Linked DNA regions of Sus scrofa. The protein of the gene in region 3 interacts with the protein of the main gene of each other region in a pairwise test. Links are inferred from orthologs where the notes say so. Each region holds a gene or a part of one and is shown on either strand. Other genes may lie near its edges. The genes, in order: HNRNPM, DZIP3 and HNRNPF.

What was found.
Region 1: the proteins of HNRNPF (region 3) and HNRNPM interact in binary tests that used the Homo sapiens proteins (3 or more experiments, as listed by UniProt). The two-hybrid records come from large-scale screens. The link is inferred for Sus scrofa from reciprocal best matches to the Homo sapiens genes HNRNPF and HNRNPM.
Region 2: the proteins of HNRNPF (region 3) and DZIP3 interact in binary tests that used the Homo sapiens proteins (3 or more experiments, as listed by UniProt). The two-hybrid records come from large-scale screens. The link is inferred for Sus scrofa from reciprocal best matches to the Homo sapiens genes HNRNPF and DZIP3.

The regions. Positions count from the first base shown.
Region 1 is NC_010444.4:70,856,032-70,860,181, forward strand, and holds the start of HNRNPM (heterogeneous nuclear ribonucleoprotein M), read right to left. Parts: upstream 2,811-4,150; 5' UTR 2,741-2,810; coding exon 2,628-2,740; intron 1-2,627. UniProt on the Homo sapiens protein: Pre-mRNA binding protein in vivo, binds avidly to poly(G) and poly(U) RNA homopolymers in vitro. Involved in splicing.
Region 2 is NC_010455.5:150,847,039-150,850,683, forward strand, and holds part of DZIP3 (E3 ubiquitin-protein ligase DZIP3), read right to left. Parts: intron 2,310-3,645; coding exon 2,277-2,309; intron 1,234-2,276; coding exon 1,064-1,233; intron 232-1,063; coding exon 187-231; intron 1-186. UniProt on the Homo sapiens protein: E3 Ubiquitin ligase proteins mediate ubiquitination and subsequent proteasomal degradation of target proteins.
Region 3 is NC_010456.5:61,665,022-61,669,203, forward strand, and holds the start of HNRNPF (heterogeneous nuclear ribonucleoprotein F), read right to left. Parts: upstream 2,925-4,182; 5' UTR 2,836-2,924; intron 2,508-2,835; exon of another isoform or gene 2,440-2,507; intron 1,882-2,439; exon of another isoform or gene 1,791-1,881; intron 1-1,790.

The DNA.
Region 1 (4,150 bases), on a different chromosome or scaffold from region 3:
ACTGCCTTTTAGGTTTACAGCACACTCCACTCCTGATGGAGACAAAGGTAAAAATAACCTAGTTTCACTCACTTCCCATCCCTCAAAGGCTTTCATGATAAAAATCTAAATGCCTTAGCCTGGAATTCATTGCCCACCAGCTGGCCCCCAGTGTTCCAGCAGTTTCAGTTCTTTACAAATTTGCAAAGAATATATCAAAATCCCTAGTCTTTGGACACTCCTCTTTGACTCTTCCCTATCACCTTTCATCCTCCTCCTCCTCCTGGAAGAACATCTCCTGCCCATCCCCCAACAAGTTGGTGGGGGGGGAGGGGAGCCCCTTCATACCCATACCTGGTTAACTCCTTTTACCTCAATCACAGCACAATTACCTTAATACAAAAATATTCATTAGCCTCCCCTTATGAGCATGGGCTTCATTTTCTAAAGACCTCTGTTTGGGGAGTTCCCCTGTGGCCAAGCAGGTTAAGAACCAGACTAGAATCCCTAAGGATGTGGGTTCCATCCCTGGCCTCACTCAGTAGATTAAGGATCCAGCGTTGCTGTGAGCTGTGGTATACATCGCAGATGCAGCTCTGATCCCCCACTGCTGTGGCTGTGGTGTTGGCTGGCAGCTGCAGCTCTGATTCAACCCCAGACTGAGAACTTCCATATGCCGCAGGTGCAGCCATAAGAAGACAAAAAATAATAATAATAAAATTTAAAGAGTTCTACTTCAAAAGCCTCATAATGCAAAAAAAGGGAAACAAAAACCACAGTTTTCCAGTGGCCCTACAAGAAAGATCTAAGTGTTGTTAACTTCCTAAAATACTCTCTATTAAGCAGTCCCAGATTCTTTTCAACTAGAGCTCTTTTGTCTTGAAAACCTTCAGATTCTAATGTGTTATGTTTGTCAAATAAAAGTCACAATATGACTATTTTGAAATGGACAGTAGAAAATGGGAAAGTTGAAAAATGTACCCCAGATGTTAAAATCTGTAACTGATAACTTCTCAGCTAATACAGTTCTAGCAGCACTCCATCCTGTGATAACTGCTTTGATAGGAGAAAAAAAAAAAGGAAATCAAATGTATCTTCCAAATACAACCCTCAAAAATCCTACTAGGCTCCCTACTAGGTAATGAAAAAAGTCTAGATGAACAAGGCCCTTTCCAGAGCTTTCAATAATAAAGGGTTGGGAATACTTTCTCTTTATTTCCAGGGACCAGTAACCATGGTATTCTGTCCCCCACCCCCAAGTTTAGCAACATGGCTATTATTTAGTGAGTGTTTATTAACAAAGTTCTTTAACTACATTCACTTTTACTTCCCACAAACTCTAATGATGCACATTAAAAACTTGTGTAAAGACAAATTCAGAAAAGACAGAACGCCTAACACAGGTAACCAGGAAGAGAGGGAGATGGGAAGTTATTGTTTAATGGCTACAGTTTGTTTGGGATGATGAAAAAGTTGTGGACATGGACACTGGTGATAGCTGCACAATACCGCCAACACACTTGATGCCACTGAATCGTACACTTGAAAATGATTAAAATTGTACACTTGAAAATGATTAAAATTGTAAACATCTTCGGTTGTTACAATTCCCACCCCCCAATAATTTTTTTTAACGTCCATGGGAAATCAAATGCGCACCCAGGCTTCCCCTCTCCTCCCCCCACAGCTGCTGGTCGGGGCCAAAAAGTCTCTCCGCATTTTTCAGAGGCTGTAATCACAATGAGTGGGGTTCACGAGAACACAGGACGTTACTTTAAAGTGTTAAGAAAACCTTAAATACCAAGGACCCAAGAAAGAGCCTCAAACAGGACTCGAAAAGGTGACGGAGTTTGGATTGGGTGAATCCGCCTAATGATGGAAAACCTTCTGGAACACGGAAGAGGATGTTTCCCTTTTATTCCCTACACTTTGTTTTTACGGCTGAACACTGAAGAACAAACGGTTCGATCTCTTCACAAATACCTACTGCGCACCTGGGAAGGAGGTGAGGGACCTGAGCCTGCGCCTGAGCGTCGGGCAAGGGGCGGTTCCGACCGAGGCATTTCCCGCGAGGCGGGGGCGGGAGGGGGGGGAGGGGAAGGCGCGGGGAGGAGGTGCCCCGAGCCGGCCTCGCGGTCCTTCCCGGTACCTACCCGCCTCTGCTACCGTTTACCCAGACTGACCGCGCGCAAAGCCCTGCGTGCGCACTCCCTCCCCTCCCCTCCCCCCACTTTACGGATCGAGAAACTGAGACCCCGGGCGATAGGGAAGGGATGCGAAACCACGCGCCCAAGGTCATCCGATAGGCCAGCGGGTCGCGGGCTCTCAGACTGGTCGGCTTCTGCGCCCGCGCGCCATTATCCCCGCACGCAGAGTCTGGGCCTGAGGCCTCGGCGTCGGCGTCGGATCCGGCCTAGAGGGACCGGAGAAGTTGAGAGCCGAAGCATGGGAGGAGGGAGCGGTCCTGAAGACGCTCCCGGGGCCGCCCAGCTTCACCTCTCACAGTCTTTGACGCCCCTATTCTCGGCAGACCCTGCCGGGAAGGCTCGGCCAAAGCCGCGCCTGGAGAAGGCCGCCAACAGACCTAACGGAGCTGCCGCCGACCGCCGTGAAAGTGCCCGGCCTGAGAGAAGCCATAGGATACTCACCCTTTCGGGCCTGGAGCTCCGTTGCCGGTCGGCACGCCGGGCGCGCCGCTCTCCTCCTCCATTTTAGGCTCTGTCGCCGCCACCTCGGCCGCCGCTTCGACCCCTGCCGCCATTTTCTTCGCGTCTGGGCTTTGTGTGAGCGAGCGGGCTGCGCGGCGCTGCGCCTGCGCGCTCACATGACCCGGCGCGACCAGTAACGCCTGCGCGCGCCGCGGCGGCCTCCGGCCTCTTTCCCTCACGCCCCGGGCCACGCCCCCCGCCGCGCGCAGGCGCAGACCATCAGCTGTTAATTCATTCTCGCGTTTGGCACCTCCTGGATTCACCATCCGCTCTCGAGGTCTGGCAGGGGAGGCATCCTTCCATTCCCCTACCCGGACCCAGTAACTCCAAGGTATCTGCAAACAGAGCTGGGGCAGAAGGGCAGCGAAATACTATACTAGGCTATAAGCGAGTTAGCCAGGCAAGGGTAGGACACTGAAGGGCCAGGCAGTAGGACAGATGTGCAAAATGCTCTCTCTAAGCAAGTATCCTGCACCAAGAATACCTGGGCTCTATCCGACCTATCTCCCCACCGCTCTAAGAACTCCTGGATGCAGAGCCCATGGACTAAGTCCCTCTCACCGAACCCATCCATTACAAGCCAAACGCATGACTGGAGACTTAGTATGTGCTTATGCACGTTTCCTGAGTGAATGAAAAAGCAAGAAGCCAAACGTGATAGAGATCACATAATGGAAGAAATGGTGGGGTCCTTGCTGCCTGATCTTGGGTCCCTCTGTCTCCCTTCCCCAGAAGCCACCCCTATCTGGAACTTTGAAATGCTTTACTGGATCTTGCATGAGTTCCCACCTAACCACCAAACTCTAAGCTCACAAAGGAAGAGATGTGGAGTTCCCGTCGTGGCGCAGTTGTTAACGAATCCGACTAGGAACCATGAGATTGCGGGTTCGGTCCCTGCACTTGCTCAGTGGGTTAACGATCCGGCGTTGCCGTGAGCTGTGGTGTAGGTTGCAGACGCGGCTCGGATCCCGCGTTGCTGTGGCTCTGGCGTAGGCTGGTGGCTACAGCTCCGATTCGACCCCTAGCCTGGGAACCTCCATATGCCGCGGGAGCGGCCCAAGAAATAACAAAAAGGCAAAAAAAAAAAAAAAAAAAAGGAAGAGATGTTTTGTTTTGTTTTCCTCTCCCTCTCACTGAATAACTACATTTCCTTCCACTCTGGGGGACTATCCCACCTGCCGCATCCTCCTCCAAATAAAACGCTTAATTTGGGCTGGTATTCTGAGTGGATTAAGAACTTCAGTCCCAGAGAATAAACCCAGTAGCCCAGCCTGATCCGGAGGCTAGGCCCCACCCTCTCCTTTCAGCTCCCGTTCCCACAGACTTCCCAAACTCTTCAGACTCACAGGTTTCCTTCAAGATTGCCCTTTGCAAGCCCCTCCCCTCCTAAAATCTCTGATCTACTAAAATCCTCTGTTCCTTTTTTTTCCCCCCTAGGTACTTTATTTTTTTTTTTATTGCTC
Region 2 (3,645 bases), on a different chromosome or scaffold from region 3:
TTACTCAGGATCTAACATACATAGACTTCTCTATAATCATATATTCAATAAGCTATAAACATTTTTAAGTTATTTGTGCTACATGTCTACTTGGACTAATTTTAAGTTCTAACAATAAAACCATGTATTAAATATGTGTTCATAATCTGACATTCCTCTAATGTAATGCTAATAAAAGCCTCTTACCTTTTTATTCTTAGTCTTTTTCTTTTTCTTTGGTTTACTCTTAACCTGATAGATAAGAAACAAATCATTTATTTAACATGAAATTCTGGACTTCCCACATGGCTCACAGCATAACTACTTGGTGTTGCTTCTATTTAATATTCAATTCAAACTACACAATAAGACTATTTTGCAAAATATATTTCCTCTAACCACTGGGACCTTTTATCTTCTAACGTAGATCATATTTTCGTTCTAGACTCTATGAAAAATTATTTTCACTTTTATTTTAATCTTAATCACTGACGTAAAAAGGAACAACATATAGCATCACTGACTAGGCTACTGAAAAGAGCTCTGAGGTCCTCACTTACACACATGCCTGTACACATAACAAAGGAGGAAAGCATTTGAAAAATCAACAGACTCAGGTACATAAGACAAAAAATTAAGCTTGAGAAGAATTTAGTGACTACATAAAAACTGTTACCAGTTATCTGTAAAGAAACAGATCCTGGATGATTTTAATTCTACCTCTGTGCAAATGGCACTAAAATATCCCTTGTTTTCTCTTCCTTTCGCTCTTCTCTATTCCCCACTATGCTTTATTCTACTTTCTATTAACCTTCCACATCCACTACCACCACTCAGGATGAAGAAATATGTTCAGAAACCTGGCACATAATAAATATTCAATAAATGCTGGCACAATGTGTGGTTAAGGCAGAGAAGATTATGGAAAAAGTGCTGCGAAAAGAACCATTCCAATACAAGCTTTGTGTAAACACAATGATAAATATAAACTAAAATTGTCTGGGATGATTTAAGAACAGCACATGCAACAAACTAAAAGCCTTGATTAAATTCTTCTAATTCAAATATTAATGAAAGCTTATACTTCTTGGAGATCTTTAATAGATTCTGTTGAAGATTCACTGGGTATCGATGCCCCATCTTTATTAATTTCCGCTAACTGTATTTCAGGGTTTGATTTCACATTTATATTGTACTCCATGAGAGGTGGACTTAGTTCTTCTTCCTCATTTTGTAACTCTTCTATTTCAATACCTAGATATTAAAAACAAAACACTTAAAATCTGGATGCACATAATTTTAGTTTCTTATCACTATATAAAAATATATTCACTCCCCCCAAAACATCATACCAGAAATAAAAGACATCTTACCCTGCTCAAAAACTAAACAAAAATGAAATGTTCATTTATCAATGATCAAATAATAGATATACGTACTCACCTGAAACCAATCAGTACAAACTCAAATTCTAAGATATTTTACTGTTATCTTAGACTGTACATATTAGACATCTATATACTTAAGTCAACTCTAAATATGAAGGTTTTGAGTGTACTGACATTGACCCTATTAATATTGCAACTAGTATTATTTTAGGGAATTTTTATGAAACATAAAGAAAAAAAGGAAAAGACTGTCTATTTTTTTCTTTTTTCTTTTTTTTAAATAACCAAAGATTGTTAAAAGTTATCAGCCCCCTATTATGACTTCTTTTTGGACACCATGCTCCTTAATATTGCTCCAGAGATTCAATCTCTAAACCTGTGGACTTCATCTGACTGGGTTACACATGATCCAAATAAAACCTATGGTGTTCTTTTCTTAAGTATAATGTTAATTGCAGAACTTGAATTACATTTAAAAAAACCCCCAAAGGATGGAAATTAAAAAATTAGCAACTCACAACCTGGCTAGCTAAAAAAGTACATAGCCTAACAATGGATAGTTAACCAGATAATAACCACATATGCTAAACAGTAGCATATATGAGCAGGTAGAGCAAGCAGGTAGAGCAAGCAGGTAAGCATTTTCACCTGTTGAAGTATCCTGTGTGTCAAAAGTTAAAAGACTCTGCTAGGGTAAACCCTGGGGCACATGCAGTCAGACAAAGGCAGAGTTAAAAGGCTTGTACTAGATTCAGCTGACTAGTAATATATTTGACTATATAATTTTATAAGTTTATAATAATTACAGTTCATCATACACTTTATCTAACCAAGTAAAAATCTATAGGTGCTCCTTAGCTATCTTGAGTTGAAACGTCACTCAGGCATTTGGTTTTTAAACACACTTACGTTGACTTCCTGTTATTGACTGTAGAGCAATTCCTATGATAGACGAAGAAAAAATTTAGATGTACAATTGCAAATGCAACCAATAAATATCAGAACAAGAACAACCAGATTTTTTACACTGCATCAGTAAATATTATAACTAAAAATAAGCAGCTTCACTCATGAATATAATTTAAACAAGGCATAATCTTTAAAGTATAAAATAAAGGTTATTAACCCATGATTAGAGAAAAAAAAGTAAAAGAATAGGAGTTCCTGTCATGGCTCAGTGGTTAACCAATCTGATTAGGAACCATGAGGTTGCGGGTTCCATCCCTGCCCTGGCTCAGTGGATTAAAGATCCGGCGTTGCTGTGAGCTCTGGTGTAGGTTGCAGAAACGGCTTGGATCTGGCGTTGCTGTGGCTCTGGCGTTGGCCGGCGGCTACAGCTCCGATTAGACCCCAGCCTGGGAACCTCCATATGCTGTGGGAGCGGACCTAGAAAAGGCAAAAAGACAAAAAAATAAATAAAATTTTTAAAAAAATAAAAAAGATAATTCATAATAGATAATGCCTTGAACAGAAGCACTTTAAACCAAGAAGCAAAATTTAATTTACAGTCTAAGGTCATGAAGTAATAATAGTCAATTATGAAGCAAACCTCCAATGAAAGTTTAAACCTTTTTAAGCAAAACCCTGATCAGCACTCCCTCTCCTTGCCCATTAATATTTATTAAGCACCTATGACGTATCAAGTGTGTCAGGCTCTAAAGTTTGAATGGTCAAGAAAAAAGACAACCTTCACAGGTTTAGCAGAGATTCGCCAATGGATATTAATCCAATAATCAGATATAATAATGAAAACTGAAACTTTACTAACTACTCAGAGAGAGATATAGGATACTAGGAAAGCCTCTATTAAAGGGACCTGACCAATAAGGTTCTCACACTCAGAGTGAGAACTACTTGAAATGCCTTGAATTTATTTATTGCTCACAGCGCTTTCCCAAATATTACCTTTATTCTCTTGAGTTTTTGTCATTCAAAATCTTATGAGAGTAAATGTAAAAAAGAAAAGTCTCTAATATATAAGTGAATTTACAAGTCAAGTGTTCTTGCCTGACTTTCTTATATCATCAAACGTAGCATTTTCTTAAGCTCAAAGAACCCTCTTAAAAGGTTAAGCAGAAAAACACAATGGTATCCCAGAGCCTTAGCAGAAGGACTGGGATTGGGGCCTAGCAGTTATGTCTGATGAAAATCTGGACCAGTTCAACAGTTATCAGAAACGTGGAGAGTTTTAATTTAATAACATCAGTGTGATGGTCAATTGCTCATCAGGTAGTACAACTAATGACTAATGACTTGGGGCCAGGAAAATTCACCTGGA
Region 3 (4,182 bases):
ATCTCATGGTTCCTAGTCGGATTTGTTAACCACTACGCCAGGACGGGAACTCCGGTAATGTGTTATATTTTAAAAGTCCTTAGATATACAAATACTTATGGAGAAAAAAATCCATGAACCTGGTTCTCCCTCTGCCCAATCGTTTGTCTTCCACAAGAACCCTTGTTCAGAGCAACTAACTGGAGGCAGGGGTCCTGGCAGAGGGATGTCCCACGTCAGACAGACTTAAGAACAGTCCCAGATGTGTTCTAGGACACATCTGTATGATGGGGATAGCAGTAATATCTCCTTATGGACTGATCGCGGGCATGTGATTAGAAAAGTGTAAAACACCTAGCTCTGTGTCTGGACTACTGAGGGCCAATCAGTGTGATTCCACAAAGAGTCTGAGAGCCAAAACTCAGACTGGAGAGGGGAGGTTGATGGGAAAGTCACCTCTGTCGATGGGGGGCCCCCCTCCCACTTCTGTAGCCCCACCAGGCACTACTCCAAAGGGCACGCACCACGTGTGTCTCCACTCTTCCCCAGTTTTTTTTTTTTTTGTCTTTTTGTTTTTTGTCTTTTTGTCTTTTGTTGTCTTCCCCAGTTTTGACCTTATCAAAGGACTAACTCTCCTCCTGTTTAATCAATCCCTCCCCTTAAACCATTCTCATTTTTACTTGAGTTACTTTATAAGGGAGGTACGTTAACAATACTCAAGTGAAAATCAGTCGCTTAGCAGTTAAAAATTAAAAAGTAGACTATAACACGGAAAGAATAAATCTAATCAATTTACAGAAACGCATACTATTAAGAGGAGCTCCCCGAGGCAAAGGCCGAACTTGCTTAACTAGTAAATTTACTTATTTTAAAATGAAGGAGCTTATCTTCATTAGAACTGAAAACATCACTTTTCACTGATAGATCCTAATATTTTTGTCTGACCGGAGAACCCGAGGTTTGTTCATTCTTACTAGAAACGCACAAATAGTTAACTTTTAAAAACGTGACTTAAAAGTAATAGTAAGAATATCAAGACCGGTAGTTTCGCTGACGCATTCGTTTAAGGATTATTTGCAGCCTTCAACTAACTCTCCCGGCTCTACAAGGGTCCGATTACCGAGGCCCGCCCCTAACTTTGGGAGCCTGGGCCCCCCTCCCCCCACCGCCGCCAGCCGCGGCCGGTTCCGCGGAAGCCGCCGCGGCCACCCGGCCCCTCCCCCACCCCCACAGCAGCTCTCGGGCCCCGGTCCCGCTGAACAACCCGCCCGCCGAGGCAGGCAACTCCTTCCCCCCACGCCAGGTTCTCTGGCTCGAAAATAGCTGTGAAGCACGTTGGTTTGTCGTAGGGCCTCCAAGGGAAGGAAACTGCCGCGAAGGGCGTCTCGCGGGGCTCGCAGGTAGCCGGAGAAGGGAGGCAGGCTCTCCCGGGCCTGAGGTTCGTCCGGCGGGAACCTGTGGGGGTCCCCTGATAAGGAAAAGACTAACCGGGAGGAGCTTGAGGCCTCCTAACCGTAAAACACCGGGGCCCAGGGTCGGTCGGGCCCCGCGTCTCGCGCGGCGTCACCCAGACCGCTCGGCGCCACCTTACGTGGGCCACGCGGGGGCTGGGAGGCAGAGGGAGCCGCGCGAGCGCCGGCAGCGTCCAGCAGTTTCTGGGGCGCAGTCACGAATTAGCAAAAATACACTCAAAGATAAAAGGATAAGTGAAGAATAAAAAAACGGCCGACCAAGTTTCCCCAGCGGAAGTGTGGGCACCAGGCAAAGACAACAAGAACCGAACAGTTTCAACCAAAATATCCACATGCTACCTTTGAGAGCAGGAGACAAATGCAGACCGGCTCAGGGCACACACGCGGCGCGGAGAGGAAGAAAAGGCCGCAAAGACGGAAAGTGGAGGCTCTGCGAGCGGGAACGTGGGAGGGGGGAGGAGTCAGTTCCCAACCAGTCCCGTGCAACTCCCTGACGCGCGCAGCCACGTGAAAGTACTGCTTTCATTTTTAAATGAACCCCCTCTCACGGTCGCCCCATGTTTTCACCGTACCCCAGGCAGGGGCGCTCGGGCTCTGCCTCCCCACCCCAAGAGTCCGCACCAGGCTCTTCCTCCCTTCCGATCCTGCGTCCTCTGACACCAAACCTCAGCCCCGCGATCCAGTCCCCGAATGTAAACCAGTGGCCTCAGGCCCACCTCCCCGAAGTTCACATCTCAGTCCCGCAGGCCCCACCCTCAGTGGGCCAGGTCCTCGTTCAGGACCTAGTCGGTCCCTAGGTGTGTGGCTCCTGATCTCAGACCCCAAATTTCAGCCCCACGGTCTTCAACCTCCAGTAGGCCCAGGTGCAGGCCTTTACCACAGATCCCGCCTCCCCTGACCCCCAAATCTCAGCTCCTCGGTCCTCAATGCCAGGGGCCTCGGTTTCTGGTGTGTAGGCCTCGGACACGCCGCCCCTACCACCCCTCACCTTGGGCTCCGAGTCTCCACGCTCCCGCTCGTCTTCACATCCGGCACCTCGGTCGACCCTGTGAGCACCTAGAAGAGGGTGGAACGCGGGGGACTTGGCAGTTGTAGCAGAGGCAGTTGAGGCTTGTTTACCATCACTATGGAAACCTCTGGCAGCGCGCCCTGGGCGGGGCTTACGAGGGGCGGGGTCAGGCGCGCGGAAGGCCTGAGTCCACAACTCCCGCCCGTCGTGCGCACGCGGCGCTTCCGGAAGCCCTTATGCCTTGGTTTGCCTTGACCCTCCCCTCCTCAGACCTGCGCCCAAATACCCGGGAACAACAGCCCCAGGAGCCCCTGCCCCCGCCCCCGCCTCCGGCTGCCGGCGTGACCGCGGGCCGTTTTCTCTGCAGAACCCCACCTTTCGCTCCTGAAAGACGCGGCGCAACCCCACTTCCAAGACGGAGCCGGAAGGACGTAAAGACCGCGGCGGGGCGGAGTCTCCAAGGCGGGTTATGGGGGTGGGGCCACAAGGGCGCCGTTGTGACGCGCCCGGAGCGGAGTCGGGGATTGGTCGGCCAGGCGCAGGACCGGGCCGGGGCCTGCGGTGCGAGGGCGCTGCAAGTGGCAAGGTGGGTTACGTGGGCGAATCCTGCTCGAGGGAGGGGAGGGCAAGGCTTATGGGTTTTTCCGGCGTCTCTAAGGGTATCATCTGGGAGAGTTTCCCCAACAGTGAGCCCAAAGGATCCCTGGATTGAAGACCAGCGTGACAGAAGAAAATGAGAGTCATTTCCTGCCGAGGAGGAAGAAAGAGGGAACCAAATCCTGGAAACCGACAAAGGCTGTTCCGAGAGCAGGGTTTAGGGAGGGATTGGTAGGTTGAGGTTGCTCATGTGATTATCACTTGGGCTGAGAAGGCCTAAGGTTTCTGAAGGTGACCCTCAAGTCCCCAGGGAAAAGCAGACATTTCAGAGCACCTGAGCGACAGGGTGGATGGTAGCTGAAGTGGCTACTCTGCCTGAGGCAGTGGAGCAGATTATTTTTTTATGTGTTCTAGGATTATTAATTATTACCATTTTATTTTTGGAGACTCAATTCATGAAGAGGAAAATATAAAGAAACTCATCACTGATTAAGCAGGTTGCTTTTTAAATAAATTAAGGGAGTGCTTGGAATAGGGTCAGATTATGAATGGACAACCTATAGTGAAGGAAGGAGAACAGTTTGTCAAAAGAAGTTGATTTGGGAGGGATGGGAAAAGTAAAAGCAGGAGGTAAAAATGTATGAGAAGACTCAGGCGAAGCATAATTACGGAAAACAGGTCCTACAAAATTCAAATAGGTATTCTTAAGAAACCCAATGATCCCATGCTAGCTCATGGTATAGAAAAGTCTGTTTATGGAAAGAAAGTGCAAGTAGCTAATCTGAGGCAAATATTTAAATTACCACCCCACCCCCGACCCCACCCCTGCAAAAAAAAAGATGCTTCAGGGTTTAGGGACTGTGAAACCAGATTCATGCAATCCACTAAGAGGGCCTGCGAGGAGTTCCCGCCGTGGCGCAGTGGTTAACGAATCCGACTAGGAACCATGAGGTTGTGGGTTTGGTCCCTGCCCTTGCTCAGTGGGTTAACGATCCGGCATTGCCGTGAGCTGTGGTGTAGGTTGCAGAGGCGGCTCAGATCTGGCTACAGCTCCAATTCGACCCCTAGCCTGGGAACCTCCATATGCCTCGGGAGCGGCCCAAGAAATGGCAAAAAGACAAAAAA